7 linked regions of the Sus scrofa genome follow. Each later gene encodes a partner of the first gene's protein in a complex. Links are inferred from orthologs where the notes say so. Each region holds a gene or a part of one and is shown in the gene's direction. Other genes may lie near its edges. The genes, in order: RUVBL1, ANP32E, ACTR6, EPC1, ING3, UXT and MORF4L2.

The links.
Region 2: RUVBL1 (region 1) and ANP32E share a complex: the UniProt entries of both Homo sapiens proteins name them as parts of the SWR1-like complex. The link is inferred for Sus scrofa from reciprocal best matches to the Homo sapiens genes RUVBL1 and ANP32E.
Region 3: the proteins of RUVBL1 (region 1) and ACTR6 are in contact, whole or in part, in a cryo-EM structure (PDB 6IGM), measured with the Homo sapiens proteins. The link is inferred for Sus scrofa from reciprocal best matches to the Homo sapiens genes RUVBL1 and ACTR6. Residues at the interface, in NP_003698.1 of Homo sapiens: Lys162, Thr163, Ala164, Lys165, Gly166, Thr167, Tyr209; in NP_071941.1 of Homo sapiens: Tyr217, Tyr300, Arg338, Cys339, Leu340, Thr341, Pro342, Thr343.
Region 4: RUVBL1 (region 1) and EPC1 share a complex: the UniProt entries of both Homo sapiens proteins name them as parts of the nuA4-related complex. The link is inferred for Sus scrofa from reciprocal best matches to the Homo sapiens genes RUVBL1 and EPC1.
Region 5: RUVBL1 (region 1) and ING3 share a complex: the UniProt entries of both Homo sapiens proteins name them as parts of the SWR1-like complex. The link is inferred for Sus scrofa from reciprocal best matches to the Homo sapiens genes RUVBL1 and ING3.
Region 6: RUVBL1 (region 1) and UXT share a complex: the UniProt entries of both Homo sapiens proteins name them as parts of the PAQosome complex. The link is inferred for Sus scrofa from reciprocal best matches to the Homo sapiens genes RUVBL1 and UXT.
Region 7: RUVBL1 (region 1) and MORF4L2 share a complex: the UniProt entries of both Homo sapiens proteins name them as parts of the nuA4 histone acetyltransferase complex. The link is inferred for Sus scrofa from reciprocal best matches to the Homo sapiens genes RUVBL1 and MORF4L2.

Annotation. Positions count from the first base shown.
Region 1 is NC_010455.5:72,227,881-72,231,380, forward strand, and holds part of RUVBL1 (ruvB-like 1), read left to right. Parts: intron 1-2,405; coding exon 2,406-2,495; intron 2,496-3,272; coding exon 3,273-3,422; intron 3,423-3,500. UniProt on the Homo sapiens protein: Possesses single-stranded DNA-stimulated ATPase and ATP-dependent DNA helicase (3' to 5') activity; hexamerization is thought to be critical for ATP hydrolysis and adjacent subunits in the ring-like structure contribute to the ATPase activity.
Region 2 is NC_010446.5:98,855,614-98,859,113, forward strand, and holds part of ANP32E (acidic leucine-rich nuclear phosphoprotein 32 family member E), read left to right. Parts: intron 1-881; coding exon 882-1,063; intron 1,064-3,500. UniProt on the Homo sapiens protein: Histone chaperone that specifically mediates the genome-wide removal of histone H2A.Z/H2AZ1 from the nucleosome: removes H2A.Z/H2AZ1 from its normal sites of deposition, especially from enhancer and insulator regions.
Region 3 is NC_010447.5:83,926,277-83,930,262, reverse strand, and holds the start of ACTR6 (actin-related protein 6), read left to right. Parts: upstream 1-1,186; 5' UTR 1,187-1,272; coding exon 1,273-1,340; intron 1,341-3,986. UniProt on the Homo sapiens protein: Required for formation and/or maintenance of proper nucleolar structure and function. Plays a dual role in the regulation of ribosomal DNA (rDNA) transcription.
Region 4 is NC_010452.4:42,839,523-42,843,022, reverse strand, and holds part of EPC1 (enhancer of polycomb homolog 1), read left to right. Parts: intron 1-2,621; coding exon 2,622-2,740; intron 2,741-2,820; coding exon 2,821-2,907; intron 2,908-3,500. UniProt on the Homo sapiens protein: Component of the NuA4 histone acetyltransferase (HAT) complex, a multiprotein complex involved in transcriptional activation of select genes principally by acetylation of nucleosomal histones H4 and H2A.
Region 5 is NC_010460.4:25,947,956-25,950,227, reverse strand, and holds the end of ING3 (inhibitor of growth protein 3), read left to right. Parts: intron 1-1,204; coding exon 1,205-1,321; 3' UTR 1,322-1,772; downstream 1,773-2,272. UniProt on the Homo sapiens protein: Component of the NuA4 histone acetyltransferase (HAT) complex which is involved in transcriptional activation of select genes principally by acetylation of nucleosomal histones H4 and H2A.
Region 6 is NC_010461.5:42,175,642-42,178,386, reverse strand, and holds the end of UXT (protein UXT), read left to right. Parts: intron 1-1,872; coding exon 1,873-1,936; intron 1,937-2,149; coding exon 2,150-2,200; 3' UTR 2,201-2,245; downstream 2,246-2,745. UniProt on the Homo sapiens protein: Involved in gene transcription regulation. Acts in concert with the corepressor URI1 to regulate androgen receptor AR-mediated transcription. Together with URI1, associates with chromatin to the NKX3-1 promoter region.
Region 7 is NC_010461.5:84,563,505-84,567,490, reverse strand, and holds the start of MORF4L2 (mortality factor 4-like protein 2), read left to right. Parts: upstream 1-1,186; 5' UTR 1,187-1,326; intron 1,327-2,450; exon of another isoform or gene 2,451-2,731; intron 2,732-3,986. UniProt on the Homo sapiens protein: Component of the NuA4 histone acetyltransferase complex which is involved in transcriptional activation of select genes principally by acetylation of nucleosomal histone H4 and H2A.

The DNA of each region.
Region 1 (3,500 bases):
TTGCTCCCATTTGTTGTCTGTGCCCTGGGCCAAGTTCTTCAACAAATCTGAGTGTGTGTGTGTGTGTGTGTGTGTGTGTGTGTGTGTGTGATTTTCCTCATTTTACAAATGAAGGAGCTGAGGCTTGTGGGGAGGTTAAGCAGGTATCCTAGGATCACACCGCTAGTTAGTGGCAGAGCAGTCTCTGAGTCCTAACCACTGTGTTGTCTGTCCTCCAGCTTGCTGTGTGACCTTTAGCAGTCAGTTGAGCTCTCTGGGCTTCCATTTTCCAATCTGTGAACTGCAGTGGACTGACCATATAATTTCTCCATCTTTGCTCTCCTCTGTGATTTTATGGTTCTTTGATTCTGTAAGGTGGTTTCTTGGTCACTGCTTTATGGAGATCATAAAAACGTCACTTCTTCTAAGGGCCATTTTTCTTTTTCCTAACAGGGTTTCCATCTCAGGAGCTTGCCTCTGCAAATCTCTCTCTCTTAAACCTCCTCCTCATCTCTTCCATTCTGTATTAATTAGATTTCTGGGTAGGATCTGCCACCTTTCCAGTAATTACATCTTCAGTCAATTCATTTGGGAAATTAACTGATTAAAAATGATTGAGAAAAAAAAAGAATGTGTACTATACAAAGTAGGCTAGATAAAATAAGGCATGCAGTTTATTTCAGCTATTCATAAAGCTGTTCTGCACAGCTTTGTTTTGTTTTTAAGAAAATAACAAAAGGGTGAATGTTTTGCTTCTAAAATGAGTGCTTCTAGCTGCTTTAAGCATATGTACAAGCTGTTTGGAGAGACAGAGTTCAAATACTCTGCGGATATGTAAGTGTGAAGGAGGAAGTGCTGTCACCTTTATGGAGTCCTTCCCTCATCCCAGCCCTACGCCAGGGGCCTGCCACCCCCCCATCTTCATGCTCAGGGCCCTCGGGCCCACCTCACCAAGGAGGTAGAGCCATGGGTGCCTTCTGTGGTTAGTTACTCTTTGTAACAACTTCATTGAGTTCTCATTTGAAGTAAAATTCACCCATTTCAAGTGTATTACTCAAGGAATTTTAGCCTGTTTACAAAGTTGTATAGCTATCACCGCAGTCCAAATTTAGAGCATTTTCATTACCCCAAAAGAAACACATTGACAATAGCTCCCCATCCTCCCCCCGCCACCTCAGCCCCTGGCAACCACTCATCTACTTTCTGTTTCTATATATTTGCCTTTTCTGAACAGTTCATGTAAATAGAATTGTACAATATGTGTACTTTTATATCTGGCTTTTTTCGCTGAGTCCTGGGTTTTTACCCTTTTATTTTTTTTTTTTTATTTTATTTTTTTTGTCTTTTTGCTATTTCTTGGGCCGCTCCCGCAGCATATGGAGGTCGAATCGGAGCTGTAGCCACTGGCCTACGCCAGAGCCACAGCAACGCGGGATCCGAGCCGCGTCTGCAACCTACACCACAGCTCACAGCAACGCCGGATCGTTAACCCACTGAGCAAGGGCAGGGACCAAACCTGCAACCTCATGGTTCCCAGTCGGATTCATTAACCACTGTGCCACGATGGGAACTCCTACCCTTTTAATTTTGATTAAACAAAGCCGAAGTTTTTTCATATATAAAATGTAAAGTTTAATGGAGAGTAACAGCTCCCTTCGAAGTTTAACTGCGAGAAACTTGTTTCTAAATATTGACCCCTTAAAAAGATGCTGTCTTAGAGTATTTATCACGTAGGGTAGCCTGAATGTGGATGATCTGGAAAAAGGCATCAGTTCCAAAATGTGCTACTTTACTTTTCTGGAGACATAAGCAGATGGGCTCAAGGGAGCAAACACAGGGATTTGCTTGAGTGGCTTGGGAAAGATCCTGGTTTATGTTTTCTTTGAATTTTACACGTCTGTGATGGTGGTCACCCCTGGTGCCATTATATAGGTGAGGAAACTGAGGCTCAGAGAGGCTTGTCCAAAATCTTAGGCCCACAGAATGCCAGCCACGAAGTGTAAGCAGGTTTAGCATGCTTCACTTGCAGAAAAACACCACGCCTGCCTAACATGGGAAGAGTGAAGAATTGAAGCAGGGGAAGCGATCTCAAAATGGGTGTCTGGGTCTGTGGTCCTGTGGACAGTATGGGCCCTACCTGCAAGCAATCAGAGCCATAGCTGCCAGTTTGCAACCTTGGGAAGAAAGGCAATGAGTGGCTTGGGTCTCCCTTCGTGCCCCTCTCCTGCCTTCACTGGGCACTGAAACCCCAAAGCCAGTCTCACACAAGCTGACACATGTGTGCGTATACACACGTTCTTTTTCTTTCCATAGGGTCATAGCTACCTCAACACTCTGACAGAAAGCTACCTTAAAATATGTCAGAAATAAATACAATATGTGAATGTGTTCTCTGGTTCACTATTTTTTTTTTTTTTTTTTTAAAGCTGGACCCCAGCATTTTTGAAAGTTTGCAGAAAGAGCGAGTAGAGGCTGGCGATGTGATTTACATTGAAGCCAACAGTGGGGCTGTGAAGGTAATGCCACAAGGAGACCCAGGTGGCCAGGAAGTGGCTTCCTTTCTTCCTGGGTCCAGGGTGTGTGGGGAGGGACTCTGGTGTCTTTTGTGATACTGATGGAAGGTCAGCAGTTGCTCCTTTATGTTTAGTCAAGTTTGCTTTCCTTTTATCTGCATTCTTTAACCTTCTCATGATTAAAACAGAGACAGTCTGTTAGAAAAATACTAAAACCTGTTTAGAGGGGGAGAACGGTGAGAAAACGAAAGAACTGTAGTCATTTTCAAATTGAAATGCACAAGGTATTTAATCTTCCTTTTATCTCTCTGGTATTTTCTTCCCAAGATATATGCATGTGGAAAGGAATGCTGCATTAGTTGGCATTCTTTTTATATCTGATTTTCAGTGTCCTGTACAGAGTTCCTCACTGCTTAATGGATGAGCATAATACTTCATATCATACAATAAATCACCCACCTACAAAAGAGTCTTGAACAGCCCCTCCATCTCCAGTTAATGTACTGGATTTGCCCTTTATCAGAAATTGCATACAGTTAAAAGGAAGGAGGGGGGAGATTCTGGGAGAGAGTATCGGGTGTTTTTCAACTGGGTTTTGGAGCACAGCGATGAGCAGATACTGCCTCCTCTGGGCAGCAGGGAAGCAGGCCACGTTTGGAGTTTGTCAAGGCGGCTGTTGGGCCGCAGTTGGGACCTGGGACTTTTATCTCACTTGGCGCTGGGCCGCTTGGGGACTTGGCAGTGGAACTCCCCAGGCCTCGGGCCTCTCTCTCTCTGCAGAGGCAGGGCAGGTGCGATACCTACGCCACAGAATTCGACCTTGAAGCTGAGGAGTATGTCCCCCTGCCCAAGGGGGATGTGCACAAGAAGAAGGAAATCATCCAGGATGTGACCTTGCATGACTTGGATGTGGCCAACGCACGGCCCCAGGTAGGACAGCAGCAGGCCTGCTGGCACAGGAACATTTTGTATGCTGGAGGCTCCAGACCAACTGTCAGTCTTGCTGCA
Region 2 (3,500 bases), on another chromosome or scaffold:
ATGATTATTATAATATTATGCTCCATGAAGTTATTATATTTGTGTAACCACCACCCAGTAAATGTGGCAACTTTTAAAATAGACTTGGGGGGAAAAAAAAAACATTCATCACAGAATTATCCATAAAAGTCACAAAGTAGAAACAACTCAGATGTCAGTGACTGATGAATGGATAAACAAAATGTAATGTATCCATACAATGGAATGTTGAATATATCAGCCCTAAAAATGAAGTGCTGATACATGTTACAATGTGAGTGAACCTTAAAAACAATTCTGCTAAGTGGAAGAAGCCATACTCAAAAGCCACATTAATGACACCATTTATATGAAATGTCCCATAGAGACAAATTCATAGAGACAAAGTAGATTAATGGTTGCCAGGGCTGGGGGAGAGGAGGATGGTGAGTGACTGCTAATGGATAGGGGTTTTTTTGAGGGGGTCATGGAAATGTTCTAGAGAGGTGAATACGTTTTTGGATATATGAGTGACTAATAGATCAGATGGTAGAATAGCTATTGTTAGTAATGGGACACTGTTATCATTGGTTGAAAAGTTCTTATAAGAAGAAATTTGATGGATAAGCTATGTTATAAAATGATGGACAGGCAGGTTTTTGAAGTATTTTTGAAGTAAAACAAACTTTAGTACATGTAATGTTTTGATGAAAATCTATATGTTGGGGAAATTTCAATATTTAGACACCATATATTTCAGACAGTAAATATGGATGTTGTAAAAGAGAAATCTCCAAAATAATCACACTGAGATACTTTCCACCCACTGGCTTAAGAGTTTTAAGGGCCAGGGCAAAAAAGATCAACATACTAGCCAAAGACATTTGTCCAGACATTTGCTTATCTCTTAAAATATTTTAAAGATGGAGATGAAGATGATGAAGATGAAGAGGAAGATGAAGCTGGTCCACCTGAAGGATATGAGGAAGAGGAAGAAGAAGAGGAGGACGAGGATGATGATGAGGATGAAGATGAAGCAGGCTCAGAACTGGGAGAGGGAGAAGAGGAAGTGGGCCTCTCCTACTTAATGAAAGAAGAAATTCAGGTGAATAGACCTTCTTATGTGCATTGAAAATTATTTAGGCATAGGGTTATGTAATATAAAAAGTAAGTTGTGTAGAAATCAGAGTTGTTTCTAATTTGTGTGTGTGTGTGTGTGTCTGCCTGTCTTTTTTCCACTGCCTCCCAGTTCATACGACATCCAGATAATCATGAACCCTGTGATTTTACCTCCCAGTTATCTTTCAGATTCATTCTGCCCTCAGCACCATGGTGTAGTGTACACATTTTACAATGTTTCCACGCCTGTTTCTACATTTATAAAAACGAGATTATACCAATCTCCTAGGGTCAATTTAAGGATTTAATGAAATAATATATGTAAAGAATCTAGTTGCTGGCATGTTGTGGGCACTCATGAAGACTTGCTTTTCCCCTAATTATTTCTTGCCTTTACTCTTCTAGTACTTTTCTAAATGGTCTCTCTGAGAACAGCGGTTGCCACTTAGGTGTACCCTCCACAGTGTTTGCCTGCCTAGTCTGCATGCAAATGTGAGCCCATCACTAGCCTACTTGAAACCCTTTAATGTCTCTCTGTTGCCACCAGACTTACAAGGCCTTTCATTATCTAGCCTCTGCTTCCTTCTCTAGCTTCATCTCCCTCAATACCAAATCAAATCATACATGAAGCTCTCATTGCCCTTCTGTCTATTCACACATTGTTTATCTAAAATGGGGTTCATGCCTTCTGATGAACTTTCTTTTTTTTTTTTTTTTTCAGGCAAAGATAAATACCGTAAAGTGTACTGATTTTATGTATAACTCCATGAAATGTTATATATGTACACATGTAACTACCACTCATATTATGCCTTGTGATTCTTTAAAAACTCAACTCTGGGAGTTCCCGTCATGGCGCAGTGGTTAACAAATCCGACTAGGAACCATGAGGTTGCGGGTTCGGTCCCTGCCCTTGCTCAGTGGGTTAATGATCCGGCATTGCCGTGAGCTGTGGTGTAGGTTGCAGACGCGGCTCGGATCCCGCGTTGCTGTGGCTCTGGCGTAGGCCGGTGGCTGCAGCTCCGATTGGACCCCTAGCCTGGGAACCTCCATATGCCGCGGGAGCAGCCTAAGAAATAGCAACAACAACAACAACAAAAGACAAAAAAAAAAAACCTCAACTCTGGAGTTGCCTTATTACTGAAGTTTTCTATACATTTTTTTTTTTTTTTTTTTTTTTTTTTTTTTAGGGCTGGACCTGTGGCATATGGAAGTTCCCAGGTTGGGGGCCTAGGCCACAGCTCATGGCAACTCCAGATCCTTAACCCACTGAGTGAGGCCAGGGATCGAACCCACATCCTTATGGATCCTAGTTGGGTTCATTAACCACTGAGCATGAAGGGAACTCCCACCTATACTTTTTAATAGGTAATCATTCCATACTCTGTTACCTTTGAACTTTGGTTAGATTCTGTAGATGCTGTAAAAACTTGTTTATTTGGCCACGTTCTGCTAGATCGCTCCTTCAGGGAAGGGCCATTCATCTTCATATCTCTCAGCATCTACTACATTGACTGGGACGTAGTAGGTTCACAGGAAATATCAATTGACTTGAACAAATGATCTTTAGCCCCTGGGAGTTTAAATTATTTTCTCCTCATGTTAAATTATTGAATTTTGTTTTCATACTTCATAATTTAAAGTAATATTTATTATTAAAAAAATCTCTTATTTAGACTAGAAATTTTTAGTATTCTTATTTGTTCTCCTAATGAATTTTACATTGGTTAGATAAGACTATCACAGAATAATGATGACTTCTCTCTGATACTGTTTAAAATATGAAACTCCTGGAGTTCCCGTCGTGGTGCAGTGGTTAACGAATCCGACTAGGAACCATGAGGTTGCGGGTTCGGTCCCTGCCCTTGCTCAGTGGGTTAATGATCCGGCGTTGCCGTGAGCTGTGGTGTAGGTTGCAGATGGGGCTCAGATCCCGCGTTGCTGTGGCTCTGGCGTAGGCTTGTGGCTACAGCTCCGATTAGACCCCTAGCCTGGGAACCTCCATATGCCGCAGGAGCGGCCCAAGAAATAGCAAAAAGACAAATAAATAAATAAATAAATAAATAAAATATGAAACTCCTGGAGTTCCCGTTGTGGCGCAGTGGTTAACGAATCTGACTAGGAACCATGAGGTTGCGGGTTCAATCCCTGGCCTTGCTCAGTGGGTTAAGGATCTGGTGTTGCTGTGAGCTGTGGTGTAGGTTGCAGACGTGGCTCCGATCCCGAGTTGCTGTGGCTCTGGTGTAGGCCGGTGGCTATAGCTCCGATTCGACCCCTAGCCTGGGAACCTCCATATGCTGTAAGAGTGGCCCAAAAAGACAACAACAACAAAAAAATTATGAAACTCCTGCAGAAAAAATGGGACTTAAACTTGTTTGGGGCCTTAGCGAGTTAGCAGCTTTAAAAATTTTGAGTATTTAAAG
Region 3 (3,986 bases), on another chromosome or scaffold:
GCAGGCAAGGGTCACAGCTCTGGCTGGGATTAAATCTCTGGCCTGGGAACTTCCGTAAGGCAGGGTTGTGGCCATTAAAAAAAAAAAAGCCCCATCCAAAAGGACAAGTAGACAGGGAAGAATGTGAGTGCTAGAAAGCACGGCTGTTGACGGAACAGCATATTTGTAACAGGGTGGTTGGATACAGTCGGATGGGCAGTGGCAAGTAATGAAGCTGGAGTCCTCCTATCCAATTCCATGGTGCATAAGGTTTTGCAATTTATTCTTCAAACGACTTTGATGGGGATGGAGTAGGCACAGGCAGTTGTAAAAGTCCTAATAAAGGATCATAGAGAGAGAGGGAAATCTAGGGGATTTGGGGAGGTCATTGTAAGTTAATAAATTGCTCAAAGAAGCCTTCAGGATAGGGCAGGCTTGCTGGACTAGGGGAGGTCCGAGAATTGCCTTAGGTCGTTGAGTGGGGGATGGGATGAGGCCTGCATTCAGATTCAGACCTTGGGAAGGAATTTGAGGACCACCCCTTTGCTGATTTGAATACACACCTTACCGGATATCAAGGAGGAGCTAGTAAAGGAAGAGGCGGTCTTTTCTGATCCCCACTCCCCTTGGATGATAAAACTGTAGCCCACCAGTATCCTCCTGGGGCAGAGCTTCCTTGCCTGCCTGCTTGCATCTCTCCTAAGCTTCTATCCTAATAAACCTATTTCTTGCCTATCACTTTGTCTGTCGCTGAATTCCTTCTGCTCAGAGGCATTAAGAACCTGAACGTCATTAAGTCCAGACATTGGGTGAATGCTAATTTAAAACGTGGGCTCTGGTCCCCAGCACCTAAGTGCAAGTCCCATTTTGTGTTCAGGCCCTTAATGCTGTCAGTTTCAATGTCACTGTCTAAACAATACCATTTGAATACACATGCACCCCTAACGTTTGCGCAGCAAACCCCGCAATGCTAGTTCCTTACAGGCATTATAAGAAACTTCCAAGAGCGACTTAATCTGCAAAGTAAAGGCAGCACGCATTGGGCGGAAAAAGCAGCGATTTTCCTTTTATTGAATGTGGCCAGAACTTACATGAGTTTGGATAGGAAGCACCCTAAAACAATTGCAGACAAGTTGCGCGACGCCAAGCACTTTCTGACTTCCGGCGTCCTCAGTTGCTAAGGGATACAGGAAACGCTCTTCCGGCTCCCTGGGTGCAAACCATAGAGTACCGGAAAAAGCGTGAGCAGAAGGGTTGGGAAAGGAAAGCTGCCTTGGTGTCTTTCGCGCTAAAATGACGACCTTAGTACTGGATAACGGAGCCTACAATGCAAAAATTGGTTACAGCCATGAAAATGTCTCGTAAGTGTACGGTTCCTCTGAGGGACAAGGCCTACAGACCTAATAAGTTACAGATGCTGCGCTTCATCGTGGGATGTCAGTAAACTCCCCTGCGAGGCCCTCATTCAGCCAGAGGGATGCCGTGGTTGGAGCCGGGCTGTTGGGATGCTTTGAAGTGGGACTTTGTTATTAATTTTGGGCCCCTGGGCCCCGGAAGTGGGTCGCGTGTTTTGTTTCATAACAGGAAATGGCTCAGGAAAATAGGCTTGTAGGGAAGCCGTTCCGGACATAGGGGGAGGGTTCCCTGCGCAAAGTTCATGAATTCATGAATCCTCAGGAATCATGGGCATTTTGTGTGTTTATGCATTTTCTTAGGGACACTGTTACAGCTTTTTTTTTTTTTTTTTTTTTGGCTTTTTAGGGACGCACCCATCTCCATGTGTGAGTTCCCAGGCATAAACCGCTGAGCGACACAGGGAACTCCGTTTTACGGCTTTCGTCCGCTCCTCAAAGGGTTCTATGAACTCCAAAAGTGTGAAAACCACTTAGTGGCTAGAGACTTTGAGGCTTTGTACTTAAGCCCTTCCAAGTGCTCTTTGGCTTGGCACTTGACTCAGTTAAGCAATACTATAGTGGCATTCGTGAAGTATATATGTTTGAGTAAATACTAAGCAAATGTAGGGAGTTCCTGTCTGTGGCTCAGCGGTTAATGAACCTGACTAGCATCCGTGAAGACATGGGTTTGATCCCTGGTGTTGCTCAGTGGGTTAAGGATCTGGCGTTTCGGTGAACTGTGTAGGTCTCAGGCACGGCTTGGATCCCGTGTTGTCGCTGTGGTATAGGCTGGCGGCTGCAGCTCCAATTCAACCCCTAGCCTGGGAACCCCCATATGCTGCAGGTGCGGCCCTAAAAAGACAAAAAGACAAAAAAAGACTAAGCAAATTGAAAGATGTGCTTTTATTCTGGCATATTCACAAGACACTTTTTCCCCTTCTTACCTCTTTTCATTTTTGAGAGAACAAACTGCATAGGAATGTAAATTGTTACGGTCTTATTTTGGCAATGTGTATCATTGTTCTTGTCTGCCAACAGCTATTCTCTTATTAGTTACCTGAGGAATAATTTATGAGTTCCTGATAAGAGTAGGTACAGAATTCTCTGTATCATTTTTTTTTTGGTCTTTTTTTTAGGGGCTCACCCGAGGCATATGGAAGTGCCCAGGCTATGGATAGAATCAGAGCTATAGCTGCTGGCCTACAGCCACAGCAACGCAGGATCCGAGCCACATCTGCAAGTACACCACAGGTCCCGGCAATGCCGGATCCTTAACCCACTGAGCGAGGCCGGGGATTGAACCCATGGCCTCATGGATACTAGTTTGGTTTGTTACTGCTGAGTCACTACAGGAACTCCCGGAATTCTCTGTATCATTTATAGACACTGTATGGTGACAAAAAAAGAGGAGGAAGCAAGCTAAATAATCAAGAATAGTAAATTAATTACAATTAAATTATAGCCATAAGATTGGCTACAGTGCAGGTTTTAAAAATCATGTCCTCAAAGACTAAACAGAGAGAAAATGACAATATAGTAAGTGAAATATCAGGTACAAAACATCTTTACAGTATCACCCCAATTAATAAAAGGATTTTGATGCTTTTAACTCAAAATAGTCCTCATGCTAAAGTGGCATGTTTTGGGGTGATAAACTCTGTCCCCCTTTCTTGTGTGTGTGTGTGTGTGTGTGTGTGTGTGTGTGTGTGTGTGTGTATACACAACCATACATGTGTACACATGTATGACTGATCATGGCTCTAGTTTGTCTTCCTAACCAGACTGTAAACTCATGGTGGGTAACAACTGTATTTAAAACTACTTCCTACTTGTGTACCCTATAGCATCTTACAGATTGAAAATCTTTGACTCATTGGAAACTTAATTTTCTGGTTAGAATGCTGAACTTGTTCCCCTCTCCCCTTTTTTTCTTATGTCTTTTTAGGGCCTGACCTGTGGCATATGAAAGTTTCCATGCTAGGGGTCAAATTGGAGCTGTAGCTGCTAGCCTACACCACAGCCGCAGCCACACAGGATCCTTACTTAACCCACGGAGCAAGGCCAGGAATTGAACCCACATCCTAGTGGATACTAGTCAGGTTTGTTACTGCTGAGCCACGATGGGAACTCCCTGCCCTTTTTTTTTTTTTAAACCAGGATGGTATTAAGAATTTTCCAGGGGAATTCCCGTCGTGGCGCAGTGGTTAACGAATCCGACTAGGAACCATGAGGTTGCGGGTTCGGTCCCTGCCCTTGCTCAGTGGGTTAACGATCCGGCGTTGCCGTGAGCTGTGGTGTAGGTTGCAGACGCGGCTCGGCTCGGGTCGGATCCCGCATTGCTGTGGCTCTGGCGTAGGCCGGTGGCTACAGCTCCGATTGGACCCCTAGCCTGGGAACCTCCATATGCCGCGGTAGCGGCCCAAGAAATAGCAACAACAACAACAACAACAACAAAAAAAAAAAAAAAAAAAAAAAGAATTCTCCAGGAGGAGGTCCTGTCATAGTGCAGCGGAAACGAATCCGACTAGGAACCCTGAGGCAATAGCTCTGATTAGACCCCCAGCTGGGAACCTCCATAAGTTTCAGATGCGGCCCTAGAAAAAGACAAATAAA
Region 4 (3,500 bases), on another chromosome or scaffold:
AAACCACCAAGAATCCCTCCTGATTTAAAATTACGTGTTTCTCTGAAATGATTCTGATTCAAGGTTTGGTCATCTGTCCACAAAACCATCTTGTCCATCTTTGTGTGAACTGCAAACTTGACTGCCACACCTTATCTGGAATCCTTAGACATGCAACCTGAAAACTTTCTTCCTGGATAGAGATTTAGGGAAATATGGTCATTTTTGTTTATTTCCACTGAGCATTACAGTTTGAATTATCATGACGTCCAAGGTTGCCTCAGTGTAAAACGTAGCCTAGATTTTATTTGCCCAAATTTACTGCCTTACCTTTGTCCAAACTTTCCCATTCATTCATACAGCCATTTGGATTGGAATTTTATTTCTCCAAAGAAATATAAAAGTTTAGCACCTCATGGCTGGAAAAGGACTTCATAACTGGACTCTGGAGTATAGAGATGTTCAAGAAAGGCTGATATCATAGGGCTCTAGAATCTATAGCACAGTCATCTAACTTAGTTGCATTTTTATGTCTAAATCTGTATCAGGAGGAAGTTAACAGTTGTTAAAATGTAAAATTCCTATAAAACTCTCAAAGACTAAAGACTAAAATGTTGATTTAAATAGGGCAAAAATATTTGGAACTTTTATTCAAATTGATTTCCAATTTAAATATTGCTAATTTTTTCATTAAAACACACTAACACGAGCAAAGTTCTATAAAAGAATATTTTCATTTATATACATGGAGTTTTATACATAGATCTTTATAATGAATGCTAAGTTACTGTCTTCTAGATGTATAATGACACCTTTCAGAAATGGTCTGTTTTCTTTTCTTTTTTTAAAAGTTGACTAAGCATTTCCTATGAGGAAACTCAAGATTTAGGCATCTCACGCAAACTTAGGAAATTAAAGTATAAATCGCAAGAACATATTAGCAAAACTATCTGATAAATTCAGTATCTTTTGTTTTAAACAGTTGCTTTTTACGGACTTTTTTTTAAATAAAGCTAAATATTATGTTAATCACAAACATTCGTTCAGGGAAGCATTATTTTTTCACTTTTTCTTCAATTCTGATTTAACCCCATTTCTGTTATATGGAAATGGTCATGTTGACAGTGACTTTGATTTGGGGATTATCCTCTAATCAATAAAGTCTTTTCCTGGAGAATTCAGGTCTGAGGACTGCACACTAGGAAAAGAAACTGGTCAAAGGAGGGATTGCAACCAGATTTGTAACACCCAGAAGAAGAAAACGAATCATAGCATTTTTCCAACAAGAAACTTTTTGTCTTTATAGCCTAAGAGAATTGTTCAGCTGAAGTATAAGAACCTGTGTAAATACTAATAACTTCTGAGGTTTTCTTAACTATTACTTTGCAGTTATCTGATTTATTCAAAATATGGTAGAATTTCTACCTAACATCTATTGAAGCATTTTGTAGTTGTCTTAGACAGAAGCTATATCCCGGGAGATAAAGATTCTTTATGAGTTGTGAGTGAAAATTACAAAACTTGATGAAGTAGTATTTTAACTAAATCATCAAAATGCAGTTAAAGACAATAATCAACTAGTTGACAGTCTTTTGAAAACATTAAACTTTAGATTGAGGTAGTATGCATGGTTTATAGATTCCCTAAGTCAGGGATGCATGATAACCCTTTTTTTTTTTGTTTATTTTAAAATAATTCTTACCCAAACATCACAGGCTTCTTAAAGAAGCCTTTGAAAGTCAGACGTTGTGATTGTATGTGCTTTTTTTTTTTTTTCTTTTTTTTTTAATTGGCAAAAAAAAAAAAAAAAAAAAAAGAAAAAGGTTTCCTTTTTAAAAGCTGCACACACTTTTTGGGGGGGTAATAAATGAACATTTTTTTGTTTGTTTTTTTTAGAACTGAGCTCTCCATAGACAAACATAAGTAGCATAACACAGTGTCTTTCCTCAGACATCATTCTGTACAGTAAACCAACATAAACAACTCCGTTCTTATTGACTGGATTTTTTCCAGGTGGGTTAATTGGGTGGGGAAAATTAACCTTTGGAGCCTCTTTTCTTCCTATTAAACTTAAAGGATGGGTTCTTTACCAAAAAAAAAAAAAAAAAAAGGGTAATAAACAACCTTATATTTCATATAGAGGAAGAGTTTGTAATGGCTAAAACTAGAATATATGTAGAATAGTTAGTATTTTTACACAGAACTGCTAGGGATCATCTGAATGCATTGGGACAGTAATACAAATAAACTAGAAACCAAATGGTAATTATCAGATTTCTTCTCCAGCTGAGTGTAGAGTTGAAATTTCAACTATGTGGATTTAAAAAGCTGGTATTACCCTTTACACTGTCTCGCACAAGTGTCAGAGCTTACAAAAATAATGGTTTTGAAACTTGGGAAGTGAGACCTTCTCTTTCCTAGGTGTAACTCAGAAAGCTTGATTTCTTTAAACTCAAGACACTCTTGTTAAGAGTGGTTATAAAAATGCTGAGATTTTCGTTTGGAGGCGATCTTTAGCAGGTTGTTAAAATGCTTTAGATCTGCACAAAATCTTTTAAAATGCTCAAGTTCGTTCTAGTATATGGTTAGAGGTGCGCAATAGCAGTGCGTTTTTGTAAAGTGTTTTCTCATTTTATGTTTAGCATTTACAGCCGAACAATACCAGCAGCATCAACAGCAACTGGCGCTAATGCAGAAACAGCAGCTTGCACAAACTCAGCAACAGCAAGCAGATAGCAATTCCGCCTCCACCACTGCACAGGTGAGAGGTTTGTCTGTCTCATGATTATCCCTCATTGTTTCCCACCAGAGTTCATCTCTAATTACCAACTGTTGTCATAGAACCTTGCATCTAAAGAGCAGCAAAGTGGCTTTCGCCTGAATCTGCATCCTAGCCATTCTGTACAGGGTTTAGAAAGAACATTACAGGTGAGTATAGAAGCTGTCACCCTCTGCTCCCTATTTTAAAAACTAAAACTAAAACGCTCAGTCAGATGAGAGGCAGACCCTGTGTTCAAGTCCGATTTGTAATCTGTGAATGTATCTCCTTAACAGACAACCCTGCCCAGCTCATTATCTGAGAGAGTGAAATTACTATTAAAGGTTATTAAAAATTGGATGAAAATGACCTCTTATACTATGAAAAGAAATCACTTTTGAACGTAAAGCGTGACAGATGTTTGGCATTTAAACACATTTTAAAGCCCAATTAAAGACCAAGATTTGTATTTCTAAACATCTTAGGGGAAAAATTCATTGTAAAAAAATTGAAGGGGCTTCTTAATCTTTAGGCTGGCTAAGTTTGGATGTGATGTTTTGTTACTTCTATTTTAAAGGGAAGAGTTAATCTTATTGCCCCATAGGTTCCTTTGATATTGTGTGTGTGTATATGTGTAAGTTTGGCGATGGAAGTTTACATACTTATTTGTTCCTTATATGAATTTATTCATTCATTGATTCATTGCAAATCACTGAAATGTTCTACTAGCATATTTCTTCTCCAACACTTCGTTTTAGTGGTG
Region 5 (2,272 bases), on another chromosome or scaffold:
CAAAGAATGCTGTGTTTGCTAGAATTCAGTTCACTTATCAGAGTGAAGAATTGGAACTTTTAGAACAATACATCCTTTCAGGAAGCATGATGCTAAGGTGAAGGCTCTCATGTGCTTATTTCCCTCCCATTAGTGTAGTATTTCCTACTGCTTTGCAGGTGTCAGCTGATAAGAGCCACTTCTGATATAAAAAATAAAGAAGGTTTGAAAGAAAAGAACTCCTATTTATTTTCTATGAAGTTTAATTGGGGTTAGAGATATGTTTTTATTGAATGCCATGAATATTTTTGTCTAGTAATTTCCATTCCCTTCTCACTGTCAGCCCCTTTTTGTCCATCTTTTCCTCCAGAGGGGTAACACAACTCTGAATGTCAGGATCTGCAGGTTAAGGCTAAGAGTTTTAAATGTTTAAAACAGTTTGAAGATTGAGCAGGGTTGGCTCATAAAAATGTGTACTTTCCTAACCAGCCAGGGTCCCAAGACGTTCAGGTAGAGAAAGACTCTCCTTCCACTTTCCTCTATAGACTCTCTTGTGGGTTGTTTATGGTTATTGCAAAACAGTAGCCCCCAGCCATTTCAAGAAGACCATTGTAAACTGTCTTCTCGGGCGGTTATTGAAGATGATGAGTGAGATTTCTGTGAATACCCTGTCAGACTCTCTGATCCCTCTCATTCCCAGTTGTGCTGTTCTCAGTCCTAGGATTTTGCACTTGTAGAGCCACTTCATATATTGAACAGCGGAGTTCTTTTTCTCTCCATATCTAGGAATAGATAGACCCAGAAAGAAACCCAGGGCATCACTTTATGTCTTTCATTACAGCTGGCTAATTTTACTTTGTAAGAACACAAATAAGGCTGAATATTAAATAAAATCTTGGAAATACATTTTGCCTTCTATGTAAGAGACCTGTCTCACTTCTTGTCCTTGTGAGTTGGTGTCGATGTACTCTTCAAATGAAAGTCAGTGAATTTGTGTTCGTTGAGATTATGAGAATAGATTATGTGAAACTCAGCTAAAGATGCATAATTTTCTATGTCTCCATTTCCTTATCTCTGAAACTTATCAGTTGGACTAAATCATCTCTAATCCAGCTCTTCGATCTGAGTCCACACATCTAATCATTAATATTTAGTTCCTGGGCACGTTTTACCATTCTTCCTAGTCTTTGACAAAAAGCTGTTTCTTTTCATGTTTGCTTTCTAGTGCCCTATAGAATGGTTCCATTATGGATGCGTTGGACTGACAGAAGCGCCGAAAGGGAAATGGTACTGTCCACAGTGCACTGCTGCCATGAAGAGAAGAGGCAGTCGGCACAAATAAGGGTGGTCATTTCATTTGAGGAAGAAAACAACTTCAACATTTTATATAGGACTTTAAAAAAGAAGAAAAGCGAAAGAAGAAACAATGCATTTCCAAGCACCCACTTTAAGGATTTACATAGACAATCCTATAAGATCTTGAACTTGAATTTTATGGGTTGTATTTTAATAATGTAAGTAAATTATTTATGCACTCCTGATGTGCTCTGAATATTATTCCAGTTAGCCTTGGATTATTTCAGTGGCCAACATATGCAGACATTTGTACTCCTCAACCATTTTCTCAAAGTAATGGGCATTCTATAATTTACACTTCAATGAATTCCAACGATGAAGATTTTAAGAAAAGTATTTTATATTCAACAGGTATGTTCTGCTGCATGTACTGTACTCCAGAGCTGTTATGTAACACTGTATATAAATGGTTGCAAAAAAAAAAAAAAAAAAAAAAAGACAGTGCTTCTAAAAAGAATTTAAGATAATGGTTTTTTAAATGCCTTTATAATAAGCTTTGTTTCTTTGTGAAACTAAATTCAGCGGGCTGAAGGAAATGGTTCATGTGATAAAGTGGGCTGGTGTCCTCTAGAGTACCTGGGTACATAAACAGAAACTCCTGTAGGTAAAAACTAATCTGTGCCATTAGTCTTTATATGTTTCTGCATCCAGATAGAATGCAGTTCATGAGGGTGGGAGGGGGAGGGGCTGAAGGGAGAGGGTGTTAAAGTGATACATTTTTATACCAAATGTGTTTATTTTTTTGTGCAAGTAATCCTTAAAATTGGAATTGTATTAGGTGTTAAAATAAAGTTTTTAAAAAATTACTTGTATTTATACTTTACACACTTAATAATGAAAATTTCTGAATTCCATTTAACTTCCAATTTTCATAATCTAAAAAGGACAGAGGCCCAGGACACAGAATGCTGCGTAATCTGTTATTTCTTTAATAATG
Region 6 (2,745 bases), on another chromosome or scaffold:
GGACTGAAAATATAAATTTGGGGAGTTCCCTGGCGGCCTGGTATTTAAGGACCTGGTGTTGTCACCACTGTGGCTCGGGTTGCCACTGTGGCACAGGTTCTATCCCTGGCCGGGGAACCTCTGCATGCCCCCACCCCAGCCAAAGAAGAAAATACAAATTTGGGAGATAGTGGAGTTCCTGCTGTGGTGCAGCAGGATCGGCCACATCTCTGCAGCACCAGGCTGCAGGTTCGATACCCAGCCCGGCACAGCGGGTTAAAGGATCCAGTGTTGCTGCAGCTGCAGCATAGATAGCAGCTGTGGCTTGGATCTGATGCCTAACCCAGAACTCCATATGCTGCGGGGGAGCCAAAATAGAAAAACTGGGGGGAGATAGTGATACATAAATGAGTTTACACTCTTTTTTTTTTTTCCAATTTAACATCCTATGTCGTTGCCTTCTACTTTTCTTAACAGTATTTAGTTTCCCCAAAACTGACTCTTACGTTGACAGGATAACTCGGCACAATAGAATCCACCTTCCTTATCAGGATATCAAGACCGTGCATGATCTAGCCCTTGCCTACCTCTTGGATCTTGTGCCACTTTCCTTCCACCATTCACTTACTTTCTAACACTGGCCTCCTGATTGCTCCTCTAGAAGCTCTTTCCGGCCTCTCGGACTTCTTGTGAAAGACTGTCCTGTTTAACTCTTACTCATTCTTCAGAAAGGCCTTCTTTTATCCTTTGCATCACTTAGGCTTCTTTTGGGTGAGCCTGGTCGCAGTTGGCTTAGATGTCAGGAGGTAGGAATGGGCTGGTTGGCGTAGCTCAACAGCCCAGAGCCAGAGTGGTCCCGCTTTCCAGTTGCTTTAAGCCTTGGTGTCTTCCTTGAGTCCTCTCTCTCTTGCATCCAACATCCTCCTTTGGTAAATCCTATTGACTCTACCTTCAAAGAAGTATCCCAGCTCCAATCATTTCTCATCCCCTCAACCGCTGCCACTGCGGTCCGAGTCTGCATCTCTCACCTGGACGATTCCGACAGCCTCTGCAGTGGCCTTCCTCTTCCACACCAGCTGTCCTTATCCCCAGTCGGTTCTCCACACAGCAGCCAGATGGATCCTCTGAAACCCTAGTCATTTGACCTCCCTTCTCTGATCACAATACTCCCCTTGCTCCCATCCCACTTAGAGTCAAAGCCAGAGTCCTCACCATGGCCTGGTAGATTTTACACGAACTATCTCCCCCACTTACCTCCGTGACCTCGCCTCCTCTACCTCCCCACTTCACTTTTTCTTCTCCAGCCACACTGGCCTCTTCGCTGGGCCTCAGACATGCCAGGTACGCGCCCACCTCAGAGCCTTTGCACTCTCCACCCCTTGTGCCTGGAACACACATCCTCCATATGTCCACATGACTCGCTTCTTTGTTTTAAGTCTCTACTCAAACGCTTCTCAGTGAGGCCATCCCTAAGCACCCTAATTCGAATTCCAGCCCCCACTCCTGTACTCCCATATCCTCTCTCATTTAATTTTTTTTTCATTATAATTTTAACCATCTGACATACTCCATATTTTACTCCATCATCTGTCCCCCTTAATGAGAATCTGAGCTCCAAGAGGCCGAGATTTTCGTTTGCTATGTCTGCTGCTATCTCCCCAGTACCTAAAACAACCTGGCATAGAGTAGGCATTCAGTAAAGGTCTTGGAATCAGTGTAGTGCAGATGGCGGCCAGGCATGTCTGCCTAGGAGCAGGCCAGGTAGTAGGGGTCCCACCACCTGCCGTGTGGAAGTCATCCAGGACTTAGGCGGTTCTTGAAGCGGTGAGGGCACATCATCCTCACGGATCCTAAGTGGGGCCCACCTCGCCCTTTCTCGTTTCTTTTCTCCAGGCTCAGCGACAGCCTCACCAAGGACTCCATGAATATCAAGGCCCATATCCACATGTTGCTAGAGGTGAGAGCAGCTCACCCCACTCCCAGACTCTATCTCCAAATATTTAGGGTGGTGTCCTGAGGAAGGGAGAGAGCCAGAGATGGGAAGGGCCATCTTTCCCTCCAAATGAGTCAGACAGGAACCAGGCTGGCTCTGAGGGAAGGGAGTTCCAAGCAAGCCTGAGGTGGGGCCTGGACCCAGTCTCCGTTCAATCTCTTCTGTTCTCTTTTTCAGGGGCTTAGAGAACTACAAGGTCTGCAGAATTTCCCCGAGCCTCGCCACTGACTTCTTCCTACCTCCCTTGACATTAAAGAGCCTGAATGTCTTTGAGTCACGTGGCCCTTCTTTCCCCCATTAACTTCTGCTGTTGGCTAAAGTGCCGTTTCTAAAGCACAATGTTACTGGGAGGCGCAGAGATCCAGTCTGTGTAGAATCTTTAAAGCACCACTGAAGTGCCGCCTCCAGCCTGTTTCCTGGCAGAATGTGCCACCTGACTTTCCGCTCTGCCCTCTCTACCATCGCCTTGGCAACCTGGGCCCCCACCTGACCCTTCTTTCTATTTCCTTTCCTGTGCACTACTGCTTGAATTAACCATAGAGAACGGGCCGATTCAGGGTGGCGGTTTGTTCCCTAAGGCAATCAACCTTTCACTCCTGGCCCTAAAGTTTACCCTTCTCCCACACTCCAATCGTTCCTCAGGTAACTTAAATTACACCCACGCCCGTCTAGGCCCAACCTTGGCCTTGTCCCAGCTTCTAAATAGTTACAGCTCCAGCAATGGGCGCAGGGCCGATCTCGCCCGCCCTCCCTGGTCCGGTCCTCATTCTAGG
Region 7 (3,986 bases), on another chromosome or scaffold:
ATAATTTTTAATCTGTGAAACGGGACAGAGAACATGCAGGGTGTCTCAATAGAACATGTACTTTTTTTTTTTTTTTTTTTTTTTTTTTTGGCTTTACATTCTGCAGCACCCTCTAGTGGAGTGTACAAAAATAAGCATTTTATTTCTGCTCTTCAAAGCAGTGCTTTTTAACTTCGGTGTGCGCTGGAATAACCAGAACAGTTTGTTATCTGTCGTAACACAGAAAGCCAAACCCTACTCCTAGAATTTCTGACTGGTTAGGTTGGAGGTGAGGCCTGAGACTATAAATTTCTGACAACTTCCCAAAAGGTGATAATGATGCTACCGGTGAGTCTGGGAAACACACTTTGAGAACCTCTGCTCTAAACCTCACCCATTCCCCGGGGGGGGGGGGGGGTGTATGTGTGCGTATTTATGAGCGCATACCTGCGTGCATGCACACATGTATAGGATCTATAACTGAAAGAGGTACAACTTTTGTTTGATTTTGATTAGTATCCATCTAATAAGGATTTTGTGAAGAAGAAAAGAATATCTGTGTGAAGAATATGGTAACACTACCTAAAACACAGAAGGCATGCAAAAAAAAACCTGAAAGCACAGCATATAAATCCCAGGGCCTCAGAACTAGTAAATGGTGGAGTAAGGTTTAAAATCAGGTCTTTGACTCCAAAAACATAATACGGTTTACCAGTACCACTACAGAAAACAGGGTAGAAACACATACCTAATCATAATTTCAAGAGGAAAAGAAAATCAGTTTTCAGTAATTGGGTCCAAGTCCAGTAAAGATGTATGTCTTTACTAACTAAACAAGCCATCTATATTTTCACTTGGGGTGGGGGTGGGTAAGGGTGAGGGAAGCACTTGAAGTGAAGATCCTAACCCCAGAGACGCTTCCAATCTTCATCAGCACCAGTACCTCAAGTCTTTCATCAGTTCTGACTGCCCACCCCTGGCAAAAAAAAAAAAAGGCAAGAAAGAAAGAAGAATGGGAGGGGTGATTTTTTTTAATAAGGAAATGAGGTAAAACATTTGTATCTAGGGCCATAGTCTCCTGATAGAGCAATTAACAGAAATTAAATTGATTTTTCCCCAGCAATGAAATATATATGAGTGATTTCTATAGATTGAAGAGTTCAGCAAATCAGAAAGGGGGGGGGAATCCCATAATTCCAGGGACCAAACAGCCAATCCTTTGATGGAATTTGGCGGCATCTAGTGGCAGATGCAAAAGGTATAAACCTCATCCAGAGAACTTTCTGGAAAATTAACTGAGCGCGTACTTGCCTGAAGAGCACACTGCTTGGAGATCAGGAGTGAAAGGTAAGAGAGCCTCAACTCCTACAGAAATTGGGAGTCCCTAGTGGAGGGGAAGTCTGTTGTATATAGATATTCTCTGCAGAAAATTGTTTGTGCCAAGAGAATTGTACAAAACTTGGGGAAGGGGGGAGGGGAGGGAGCGGGTAAGAGGTGGGGAGAAGGTTATTAGGGAACAGGAAAGAAACTGTTTCGTGGAATTGCTAATATAGGAACGGGAAGGTTCGGCTTTTAACCACTGGAGGGCTAGGGTTTAATACAGGATTTTGACACGGAAAAAAACGTGGGAAGAAAGTGTAATTTTAGGGTTTAAAATTAAATCGATGAGAGATCGAAATATCCCTAGCAAAGACCCTTTATCTTAGTTACGGTCGCCTTGCCTTAACTATTTAATGATTTTCCTTTTCATCAGAACAATATTCAAACCTACGAAAGTAGAAAACGATTCTTACAGAGCGCGCGCCCCCGCACACATCCGTGCGCGCGCGTGTACACACACTCACACACACACACACACACACACACGAAGGCGCACGCACCCGCTCGGCGACACACAACGGCCCCAACGCTAGGGGCGCACGCCTGCGCACACCCGCCTCCAACGCCACGAGGCCTGGCGTTCGCGCATAAGCCATCCCCAAGGCCACGCGGGCTCGCCTGCGCACAAACGCCGTGGCCCTGACACCACACGGCCGCAGCACGCCGCCACCCGCCACCAGCATACACACCGAAACCCCACTCTGCCTTTTTTTTTTTCTCCAAGAGTTGCGCAAGAGGTTGGGGGCGTGGCCCCAGATTTGACCTCGCGCTTCCCCACTCGCGGGAACTTTAGCTCATTTCCGCCCATCCTGTTTCCGCAGGCCACGTAGACACTTCCTTTCCCAGTGGAAAAAAAACCCATAATGCCTCCCTGCAGGAAAAAAAAAAAAAAAAAAGAAAGAAAGAAAAAAAAAAAAAGAAAAAACCTCTGGTCAGAGGAACTCTGGGTCGTGAAAATAGGCCACGTGAACACCCTGCCCTATAGACTTATGACCCAACTGCTGTCGCGCTTTTGGGGGGCGGGCTAAGAACCTAAGAGGGCGAACGTCATTGGCCACAGTCCGCACTAAAGGAGGAAGGTGATTGGTTTTCCTCAAGTCTTAACCGTGAAGAAGCAGGTTGCTAGCACCCGCCTTTACTGCGGCTAAGTGTCATTGCTGACGTGGTGGGCTTCCACCAATCATTTGGTTATGGAACATTCTAAAACTTAGGCAAGACGATTGTGATTGGCTAGAGGGCGTAAGCCCGCCTCCAGGGTGACGTGTCTGCCTATGGATATCAGTTGCCAGAGAAACCTGGCTTTACTATGGCGGTTGGAGGGTCGGCAGTGATCACACGTCGGCTGCTGGAAAGAACTGGATTCTCGTTTCAGGTTTCGGGGTGGGGGTGGGGAGAAAGGGTTGCCGATTTCCTCTTATCGTTGCGTATATAGACAAGATTAACTGATGGCTTCACAATCAGGCAGAGCTAGATTCAAATGCCTACTCGCCAACGCCCAGCTTGGGCTGGCTCCCGTTCTTTCTGTGTCTCGGTTTCCATGTTTGTAAAATGGTGATAATAATAGTATCTACCTCAGAGACGTGTGCCTCAGAGGCGTGTGCTGTATATTAGTGCGTATAACTAACGAATGCAAAGTAATATAATATAATACGCTTAATAACTTAATATGAAGCCTGACTCCGGAAGATATTAGCTGTTATTATGGAGAGAAAAAAACGCGTAATAGAGAAAGAAAACATAAATTATGTAAAGTCGTTCATTATAGTGTTTTTCCTGCCCATCATCTCCTCCCCTAGAAGAAATTCGAGATATAAAAGAGACGTATCAGTTTTTACCGATGGAATAGTTTATTTGGGAATTGCCTCAAAATAGCGGGGATTGGAATTTTCCATATTGAAAAGTTTAAAAAAAAAGCGGCGGGGGGGATGGGGGTGGGGAGAGATGGAGAATGAGCGAGCTGGAGATGAACCACATGCGATGAGTAGGCCTTGTTTGGATCCTGATTCGGACACATTAACTATATTTTTTTAAAAAACTGTTTAAGATGCATCGGGATATTTTGAAGTCGTATTCAAATTCGATTTTTTGGGGGAAATTGATGACGATGTTTTAGACGTTAAAATGGTATTGTGGTTATGGTTTCAAATTGTCTTTAGCTTGTAGCAATATATATGAAAATACGGATTAAATAGTAAAATGTCTGAGATTGGCTTCAAAATATGTTGATATCTATGATTTGCTTCAAAATAATCTCAGCGGTAGGGGGACGTGGGGAGGGGTATAGATGAAACCAAATTGGCCCTAAGTTAATCGTTTAAGCTGAGTGATGGGCATATATGATTTCTTAAATTATACTGGCTTTCTTGGTATATGTTTGAAATTTTCCATAATAAAATACAGAAAGTCAGCTATTCACTGAGCTTGAAAAAAACGGAGTGGGGGGGGAGCAGTGGGTGGGGTTATAGATAAAACAAGATGGCCTTCAGTTGGTAATTGTTGAAGCTGGAGGATAGATTCGCATAGGCTTATAATATTATTCCCTCTACATTTTTATCCATTTGCAATTATCCTTAATTAAAATTTTTTAAAGGCAAAAACAAACTAGTTTATCAGAAATCAGGGTAAAT